Linked DNA regions of Saccharomyces cerevisiae S288C. Changing the gene in region 1 together with any one later gene gives a genetic interaction. Each region holds a gene or a part of one and is shown in the gene's direction. Other genes may lie near its edges.

What was found.
Region 2: mutations in SDH4 (region 1) and UFD1 together harm fitness more than expected from each alone (negative genetic interaction), as found in Saccharomyces cerevisiae (2 studies listed by BioGRID).
Region 3: of SDH4 (region 1) and ALD4, changing one suppresses a phenotype caused by changing the other (phenotypic suppression), as found in Saccharomyces cerevisiae (one study listed by BioGRID).

The regions. Positions count from the first base shown.
Region 1 is NC_001136.10:816,199-818,995, forward strand, and holds SDH4 (succinate dehydrogenase membrane anchor subunit SDH4), read left to right. Parts: upstream 1-1,751; coding exon 1,752-2,297; downstream 2,298-2,797. Other genes in the region: histone acetyltransferase NGG1, read left to right, coding at 1-362; E2 ubiquitin-conjugating protein UBC1, read left to right, coding at 680-1,327; CSN9 (Csn9p), read right to left, coding at 2,510-2,797. UniProt on the Saccharomyces cerevisiae protein: Membrane-anchoring subunit of succinate dehydrogenase (SDH) that is involved in system II of the mitochondrial electron transport chain and is responsible for transferring electrons from succinate to ubiquinone (coenzyme Q).
Region 2 is NC_001139.9:588,091-591,571, forward strand, and holds UFD1 (polyubiquitin-binding protein UFD1), read left to right. Parts: upstream 1-1,735; coding exon 1,736-2,821; downstream 2,822-3,481. Other genes in the region: transcription factor TFIIIC subunit TFC4, read right to left, coding at 1-1,379; SCM4 (Scm4p), read left to right, coding at 3,224-3,481. UniProt on the Saccharomyces cerevisiae protein: Functions at a post-ubiquitation step in the ubiquitin fusion degradation (UFD) pathway. Has a role in the endoplasmic reticulum-associated degradation (ERAD) pathway.
Region 3 is NC_001147.6:1,038,126-1,042,059, forward strand, and holds ALD4 (aldehyde dehydrogenase (NADP(+)) ALD4), read left to right. Parts: upstream 1-1,714; coding exon 1,715-3,274; downstream 3,275-3,934. Other genes in the region: NUD1 (Nud1p), read left to right, coding at 1-1,264; glutamate dehydrogenase (NADP(+)) GDH1, read right to left, coding at 3,553-3,934.

The DNA.
Region 1 (2,797 bases):
AACTAGCATGGCAGGAATACTCATCTATTTTAGAAGATTTAGACAAACAAATCGACCAGGCTTATGTCAAACGTATTCGCGTACCCAAGAAAAGAAAGAAGCATCATACAGCAGCTTCAAATAATGTGAACACAGGAACCACGTCTCAAATAGCACAACAAAAGGCTGCAAACTCAAGTTTAAAATCCCTTCTGGATAAAAGGCAAAGGTGGATTAATAAGATTGGTCCATTGTTTGATAAACCTGAAATTATGAAGAGAATCCCCAATGAAAGCGTATTCAAGGACATGGACCAAGAAGAAGATGAGGATGAAGCCGATGTATTTGCACAAAACACTAATAAGGACGTGGAACTAAATTAAAATATACGAACTCTAAGGAAAAATACGTAGCATAATAACGCATATAACTAACAATTTGGATAACTATCCATAAAAAAAAAAAAATAGTCACATAATACGAACATTAATATCCTTTTTTGTTACATTTTCTTCCATCTGAAATATTTGGAGGGGCAAAAACAATGAGATGACAGTTGAATGCATGAACTTCCGATCGCGGGCGTATAGGTAAAGTCAATTGAAGCAAGTGTGACGACATAAGTATCGTAATTTAGTGGTTGGATACATTAAAAAAAACAAGTGGTATATATATAAGTAGTAGTAGTAAGAAGTAAGCGATGTCTAGGGCTAAGAGAATTATGAAAGAAATCCAAGCTGTGAAGGATGATCCTGCAGCTCACATTACTCTTGAATTTGTGAGTGAATCTGATATCCACCATTTAAAAGGCACATTTTTGGGCCCACCTGGAACACCTTACGAGGGTGGCAAATTTGTCGTGGATATCGAAGTACCTATGGAGTATCCATTCAAACCACCAAAGATGCAGTTCGACACAAAAGTATACCATCCAAATATATCATCAGTGACAGGTGCCATTTGTTTAGATATTCTTAAGAATGCATGGTCGCCAGTGATAACACTAAAGTCTGCATTGATTTCGCTACAGGCGCTACTACAATCTCCAGAGCCTAACGATCCTCAAGATGCAGAAGTAGCACAACACTATTTACGGGATAGAGAATCTTTTAATAAGACTGCTGCACTATGGACGAGGTTATACGCCAGTGAAACTTCCAATGGTCAAAAAGGCAATGTAGAGGAGTCTGATTTATATGGGATTGACCACGATCTGATTGACGAGTTTGAATCTCAAGGTTTTGAAAAGGACAAGATTGTGGAAGTGTTGAGACGATTAGGCGTCAAGTCCTTAGACCCCAATGACAACAACACAGCCAACCGTATCATCGAGGAATTGTTGAAGTGAATAGATAAAAAAAAAACGCACCAAGTAAGTAAGTAAATAAAGAATAAATAAACTATATGAGTAAAACACCAAGCGAGGATGTTTCATTGTGCATCCGTGTTCTTGATGATCACATAACTGTAAAAGAATAATACGGCACGTTAAATGTTATTTTAGAATATATAAACACCTTATGTGCCATAAGCATTGAGCCAATCGCTGCTGTTTTTTTTATTCCGGGGCACCTTCGGAAGAACACAGGCGCAATTTAGTTATATAAGGAGAAGCCCTCGAGCGATCAGGGGACCGACTGCGGATCGCTTTAAGGCAAAGATAGAAGGATAAATATCTGCTTTGGAAGATAGTCGTATCTAATTTCCCATTCTGTTGTTTTCTTGATCTTTCCTACGCTTTCGACTTTCTTCCTACGCGCTTTATAATAGCTATGATGTTGCCAAGATCCATGAAATTTATGACTGGAAGGAGAATTTTCCATACTGCCACAGTAAGGGCCTTCCAGTCTACCGCTAAGAAGAGCTTAACTATCCCATTTTTGCCCGTATTACCCCAGAAACCAGGTGGTGTTAGGGGCACTCCCAATGATGCCTACGTCCCCCCCCCTGAGAATAAATTAGAGGGCTCATACCACTGGTATATGGAAAAAATCTTTGCCTTGTCCGTCGTTCCATTGGCTACGACGGCTATGCTGACAACCGGTCCGTTATCCACTGCAGCTGATTCTTTCTTTTCTGTCATGCTTTTGGGATATTGTTACATGGAATTTAACTCTTGTATCACCGATTATATTTCTGAAAGAGTTTATGGTGTTTGGCACAAGTACGCCATGTATATGTTGGGCCTTGGTTCTGCGGTCTCCCTTTTTGGAATCTATAAACTAGAAACCGAGAATGATGGTGTTGTTGGTTTAGTAAAAAGTCTATGGGATTCTTCCGAGAAAGACAACAGTCAAAAGATTGAAGCCAAGAAGTAGATAAATCACCACGAATCATTTGTTCGGTCATGTAACATGCACATCTATAGCAACGACGTGTCTCCTATCTTTTGCTTTTACCTTGTTTTCCGCCGGTATATTCCTTTGCCATATTTACTAGTATTTATTTATTATTATTTATTCTTCTATTTTTCTTTTATTTATTTGTTACTTCCTAATATCGTCATTATTATGCCTTTTTCATATTTGATTTACTCCAATATATTCTGTTTGAGCTTTGTTTCCCAGCTCCGAAGATTTTGAACTAAATACTCTTTCGTCACTCGCGGATTTTTAATTATAGTCAGTTCCTTTTCATGACAGTACACATCTCTACAGTCAAATCTTCTTGAAAATTTCATAGATTTACTGACTGAATCCATCTCTGCTTTAAAAATATTCTGTAGCTGAATTAAATGGCTTTCGATGATACCATCGTCTTCAATTTGACATTCTTCTTTAATTAACTCGTAACTTAACTCATTATATATTTCGCTTAA
Region 2 (3,481 bases), on another chromosome or scaffold:
TCATACAGGCATTGAAAATGATTCAGAGCTTCAACAAGGTTATCTGTGTTCAATCTTAACAATCCCAATCTAACTCTAATATCGATTGGAATGTTATACGATTTTTCCTTTTCTGCGGCAAGTAGTGAATCAAAGGTACTGTTTTTAAACCTTCTATTGTCAAATTCTGAATCATCTGGAACATGATCCCAAAATGTCTGGCTTTCGCGGCGTTGAATCCACCGTGCACATTTTTTAATTGTCTTTATACCATCGACCTCACTAACTGCGAGTTTTAAGAAAAGTTCCGCGAGAATGTTCAAAGAAGACCAGTCAAATGGTATGCATTTATATTTTGCATCAATTTTTTTCCAGTTGATGTCAGGAAACATCTGCCTATCTTCATCTTGTTCAAGGGGTTCCTTTTCGTCTGCATCCTCCCCTTCTGCGGCGCTTTCTTCGTCTGAAGAATCTAAGGCATTTTCTAAAGCAGCTAATATCGCTTCCCTTCTCTCAACATTAGCATTAAACACTTTCATATAGAGCTCAATTGAATCTTCAATCCGATCATAATCAACATAAAGAATGGCCAACTCCCTCAATATGTTTGCATCATAAGGATTGTACATGTAAAGCCTTTGAAATCCATCTAAAGCTCTTGCTAACTGTCCTGTCTTCTTGTACAACATAGACCGGCGATAAATTGATTCCCATTCCATAGGATTCAAACTTATTACCCTGGAAAAGCAGTAGATGGCCTGCCTAACATGATCTAAATCGGCGGACAGTATAGCGACTATCTTCCAGAATTCCCAATCGGAAGCATTTAGGTGAGCTGCCAGGAACCAAGAGTTACAACAATCATTAAGCCTTCCTTGCAATTGATATATATCTCCTAGGGTCTCGTAAGCAGCAAAATTACGTGCATCTTTTTTAATTACCTCATTAAATAATCTTTCGGCCACTTGTAAATCATTCCTGACAAAAGCTTCATTGGCTTGAGAAAGTAATTGCGCTACCTCTGGATCAAGCACTCTTTCTTTTCTTTGGCGGCCGTAAGATTTACCTTTGTCATTTTTCTTCTTCTTTTTTACCTTAAAGTTACTTGCTTCCCTAATCGCGTTCATGAAATCTTCCTCATCGTCTTCAGATATTTCACCGTAGTCCGAGAATTCTGCCAACAAAGAACTGTCTCGTTCGGAATTATATTCATCTTCGCTTAATTGTAGATCATGAGGTACATCCTCGTCATCATATTCCTCATCTTGAATCAAATGCTTATAGTCATCAATATTTCCGTATAGATGCTCTTCATCCTCATCGTTAACTTTACCCGTATCAGCGCTTTCTCGTTCAGCTGATTGATTTTGCTGTTCCTTTTTCAATTTTCCTGCTGCCATCACAGATACACTTGAGGGTTTCTTTCTCTAGCTTCAGATTCATTGTTGACTGGTGTTATTATACACAGTGCGCTGCCATTATTATCGTTCTTCTATTTCTAGCCGAAGCGCCTTAAAAAAAAAAAGTGTCCACTTTGGGAAACTCGCCTTTACGACGAAAAAGTCAAACTTGCGTTCTACGAAAGAGAAGAATTCCTTTTTTGGGTTAGGTGGCGAAAAATAAAGGTAGTTAAAAGTAATCCTGGCTGGTCTATGTGAATAGGGAAGAGATAATGATGTAGTTTTCAATAGATAGTAACACATACCATAGCAAGGGAGGAAAAAATATCAAAGTGATACTGTAAAATATAATAAAAATGTTTTCTGGCTTTAGTTCTTTTGGCGGCGGAAATGGTTTTGTAAATATGCCTCAAACGTTTGAGGAGTTCTTTAGATGCTACCCTATAGCTATGATGAATGATAGAATACGGAAGGATGACGCAAACTTCGGCGGGAAAATATTCCTGCCACCAAGTGCTCTAAGCAAACTATCCATGTTGAACATAAGATACCCCATGCTTTTTAAACTAACTGCCAATGAAACTGGACGTGTGACACATGGAGGTGTTTTAGAATTTATTGCTGAAGAGGGCAGAGTTTACTTACCACAATGGATGATGGAAACTTTGGGTATACAGCCAGGATCTCTACTGCAAATTTCATCTACTGATGTACCTCTGGGCCAGTTTGTGAAGTTAGAACCTCAGTCTGTAGATTTCTTGGATATTTCCGACCCCAAAGCAGTTTTGGAAAACGTACTGAGGAATTTCTCGACTTTGACCGTGGACGATGTTATTGAGATTAGTTACAATGGTAAAACTTTCAAAATTAAGATCTTAGAAGTCAAACCAGAATCATCATCGAAGAGTATATGTGTCATTGAAACAGATTTAGTAACAGATTTTGCTCCACCTGTAGGATATGTGGAACCGGATTACAAAGCGCTGAAAGCTCAGCAAGATAAAGAAAAAAAGAATTCTTTTGGTAAGGGCCAAGTTTTGGATCCCTCGGTGCTTGGCCAGGGATCGATGTCCACAAGAATCGACTATGCGGGTATCGCTAACAGTAGCAGAAACAAACTATCTAAATTTGTAGGTCAGGGACAAAACATATCTGGTAAAGCTCCGAAAGCGGAGCCCAAGCAAGATATAAAAGATATGAAGATAACGTTTGATGGCGAGCCCGCCAAGCTAGATCTGCCTGAAGGCCAATTATTCTTTGGTTTCCCAATGGTCCTACCGAAAGAAGACGAAGAAAGTGCCGCTGGTAGCAAATCCAGTGAACAAAATTTCCAAGGCCAAGGGATCTCACTAAGGAAGAGCAATAAGAGAAAAACGAAAAGTGACCATGATTCGTCCAAGTCCAAGGCTCCCAAAAGCCCGGAAGTAATCGAAATTGACTAAAAGATATATACTAGTATACAACAATATAGTGTCTTTGACAGATATATAGAGCATTTTCAAGTTAACAGATCTTAGAATCCAAGTATCTTATGCATCGCATTAGCTCTGCTGCATTTGCTGTTCGTTTAGTAAAAATAATTACGTGCGCGGTTGCGCGATATTTCCCTTGCTTAATGCCGAAGTAATTCTCTTCGTTTACCCATACTCGAATCTATTGTGTTGTTGAAAAATAAAAAAAAAAAGAACCAGGTTATATAATTGTGAGTTGATCAGTATATAAATGAGAGAAAAGAAGTTTCTATTGTTCCAAATTATATCCAAGCTGATTTTTTAACCCTTACCTCACGAAAAGCAAGTTTAAGACAAACACTCATAAGAATCCTTACATATACTAAAAAACAAATGCAAGTCTCCCCAGCTATTGTAAAAGGTATCGCAGTCTCATCATTAGGTTTATACGCCGGTATTTTAACTTCATCTACCGTGATTTCTATTACCACCCCAATAAATGTTCTAACTCAACATTTGAAGAATGTTTTGTGCACATTAGGATGCTGGAGCACCGTTTTAGGTGGTTTAGCTACTGGTGCCTTTGGACTCAGCTACTATCTAGCTGCACCAGGAGAAAGACCAAACTACCTTTTGTGCGGACTTGGTGTC
Region 3 (3,934 bases), on another chromosome or scaffold:
GACCTTCCCCGCTGAACGGGTTGAAGATATTACGTCCATTTCCGAAGTAAACACCTCGTTCAACGAAACTGAAAAGCAGCTAATATCAATCTTGACTAGTAAACTATCTGGTTCTCCAAGCTATGATTCCGATTGGGAAAAAATCCTGAAAGTTGACCTATCAAGGGGCAAACTGAAGAATATGTTTGGCATGCAAAGACTACTACCGAATGTATTAGTGCTAAACCTTAGTGACAATGAAATGAACACTCTAGAAGGTATACCCTCGAACGTTGTACAGCTATTTTGTTCAAACAACAAAATAACGAGCGCACATTGTTCATTAGCCGGATTCCACGATCTGGAATGCCTCGACTTATCGTACAACCTCTTGAATACAAGTTTAAAATTTTTGTCACTTTGTCATCACCTGCAAGAGGTGAACCTTTCTTACAACTCCATCCAATCCTTAGAAGGGATAGGATCCTCCAGGATGAAAAAACTGAACCTTTCTAACAACGAGATTAATGGTATCATCGATTTCGAACAATTGATACTAACAAACAACTCTGTCGTGGGCGGCTGGTTGACCGTGGAAGTCTTAGATCTAAGCAACAATAACATAATTGGCGTAAGAAACATCAATTGCTTGCCCCGCCTGAAGGTTTTAAACCTCAATGGTAACCCGCTAGTTTCCATCGTGGAATCTTCTAAGATGGAGAACGGAACGTTGAGAGCGCTTTCCATCAAAAATACAGGAGGCGCGCTATCCAAATTACAAAATTACAAGTTGGATGATCAATTCACGTTCCCCTACCAAAATCTAAAGATTCTAAAACTGGACGGCTTCGCTCAACTTAGCAAATGGCAAAAATGGCCTGCCACTTTGCAAATTCTGGAGATCAACGGCGGCCTGGCCTCCTCTTTGCCGCGATTCTCTTCTCTAAAATCCACCAACTTATATTCTCTAACTATAGCTAATGTTAGAGACTTCACACACTTACCAGTGGACCTCTCCAAGGAACTACCGTTCTTGCAAGAGCTACATCTGCCAGGCAACAACCTACAAAACGCACACAAGTTAACAAAAACTCTCCCACGCCAATCAGTAAAATTTCTTGATCTACGAAATAACCCAATCACGACACCACGCCACGATCGCGCCAGCACGAGCTTGCATTACCGGCAGTTGCTCCAGCTTGCTGGCCTCTGCCAGCAGCAATGTCCCGCCCTGGCGACCCTCTGGTTAGATGACACTCCTGCCCCAACTGCCACGAATCTGTAACCCCATAACTATACCCGTACGCAGTACTAAAAATGTATGTAATTAGTAAATGTATGTAACAATTTCACCGTTTTGTGTAACAATTCATTCATTCATTCTTTTGATCCTTTAGTACCGTCCGCACATGATGTCATTTCCCCCTCATTTTTGTTTGCTGGTATGATTCCCCGCCCGGGCGACGGTACGGCTGTTATCCAGCGATGCGGGACTTCCGTCCACAGGTATCTTTTTCTCCAACTCCAACAGAGATGGAAAATGAGGGGCGGGTGTAGGTAAGCAGAATGAGGAGAAATTTGTAATGAAAATGGAAGTTCGGCGGTTATATAAATGGGGGGGGTTTGTCGGTGACAATTGACTTCACTCTCCTTTCCTCAAAAATTCTTGGGTGTTAGGATTAGAAGTATCTGGAAAACCAACCAAGAAAACTACAATAACAAAAATAAATAAAGCATGTTCAGTAGATCTACGCTCTGCTTAAAGACGTCTGCATCCTCCATTGGGAGACTTCAATTGAGATATTTCTCACACCTTCCTATGACAGTGCCTATCAAGCTGCCCAATGGGTTGGAATATGAGCAACCAACGGGGTTGTTCATCAACAACAAGTTTGTTCCTTCTAAACAGAACAAGACCTTCGAAGTCATTAACCCTTCCACGGAAGAAGAAATATGTCATATTTATGAAGGTAGAGAGGACGATGTGGAAGAGGCCGTGCAGGCCGCCGACCGTGCCTTCTCTAATGGGTCTTGGAACGGTATCGACCCTATTGACAGGGGTAAGGCTTTGTACAGGTTAGCCGAATTAATTGAACAGGACAAGGATGTCATTGCTTCCATCGAGACTTTGGATAACGGTAAAGCTATCTCTTCCTCGAGAGGAGATGTTGATTTAGTCATCAACTATTTGAAATCTTCTGCTGGCTTTGCTGATAAAATTGATGGTAGAATGATTGATACTGGTAGAACCCATTTTTCTTACACTAAGAGACAGCCTTTGGGTGTTTGTGGGCAGATTATTCCTTGGAATTTCCCACTGTTGATGTGGGCCTGGAAGATTGCCCCTGCTTTGGTCACCGGTAACACCGTCGTGTTGAAGACTGCCGAATCCACCCCATTGTCCGCTTTGTATGTGTCTAAATACATCCCACAGGCGGGTATTCCACCTGGTGTGATCAACATTGTATCCGGGTTTGGTAAGATTGTGGGTGAGGCCATTACAAACCATCCAAAAATCAAAAAGGTTGCCTTCACAGGGTCCACGGCTACGGGTAGACACATTTACCAGTCCGCAGCCGCAGGCTTGAAAAAAGTGACTTTGGAGCTGGGTGGTAAATCACCAAACATTGTCTTCGCGGACGCCGAGTTGAAAAAAGCCGTGCAAAACATTATCCTTGGTATCTACTACAATTCTGGTGAGGTCTGTTGTGCGGGTTCAAGGGTGTATGTTGAAGAATCTATTTACGACAAATTCATTGAAGAGTTCAAAGCCGCTTCTGAATCCATCAAGGTGGGCGACCCATTCGATGAATCTACTTTCCAAGGTGCACAAACCTCTCAAATGCAACTAAACAAAATCTTGAAATACGTTGACATTGGTAAGAATGAAGGTGCTACTTTGATTACCGGTGGTGAAAGATTAGGTAGCAAGGGTTACTTCATTAAGCCAACTGTCTTTGGTGACGTTAAGGAAGACATGAGAATTGTCAAAGAGGAAATCTTTGGCCCTGTTGTCACTGTAACCAAATTCAAATCTGCCGACGAAGTCATTAACATGGCGAACGATTCTGAATACGGGTTGGCTGCTGGTATTCACACCTCTAATATTAATACCGCCTTAAAAGTGGCTGATAGAGTTAATGCGGGTACGGTCTGGATAAACACTTATAACGATTTCCACCACGCAGTTCCTTTCGGTGGGTTCAATGCATCTGGTTTGGGCAGGGAAATGTCTGTTGATGCTTTACAAAACTACTTGCAAGTTAAAGCGGTCCGTGCCAAATTGGACGAGTAAGGTCATCAATAAGCCTGGTGTCCAATCGATGCTTACATACATAAAATTAAATATTCTGTCTCTGTTATATTTCCACATGTCATCATTTCAAATATATGTACTTTAAAGAAAATAAAATAAAAAATAAAATTTTTTTCTCCCGATAATCAATTTTCTTAATTAATTAATTGCGTTACGATTCCGTTTTTTTACTTCTTTTATCTCATTATCTATCTAAGTTATTTAAAAAAAAGAAAGAACTTTTTATGAACTTTCCTCTTTTCTTTCTTTTAGACTATTTAAAATACATCACCTTGGTCAAACATAGCATCAGAGACCTTGATGAAACTTGCGATATTAGCACCTTTGACCAAAGATGGCAAGACCTTACCGTCCTTAGTGTACTTCTTGGCATAGTCGATACATTCATTGAAACAGTTGATCATAATTCTCTTCAACTCTTGGTCAACTCTTTCGCTAGTCCATGTGATTCTTTGAGAGTTTTGTGCCATTTCTAAACCAGAAACAGCAACACCACCCAAGTTAGCAGCCTTTGGTGGACCGTACCAAACAGCTTCGCTTGGTCCAGTGGCGGTGGAACGAGCAGTTTCAAAGACGGCAATAGCTTCTGGAGTGGAACCCATGTTGGAACCTTCGGCAATAAACTTGACACCTTGAGCA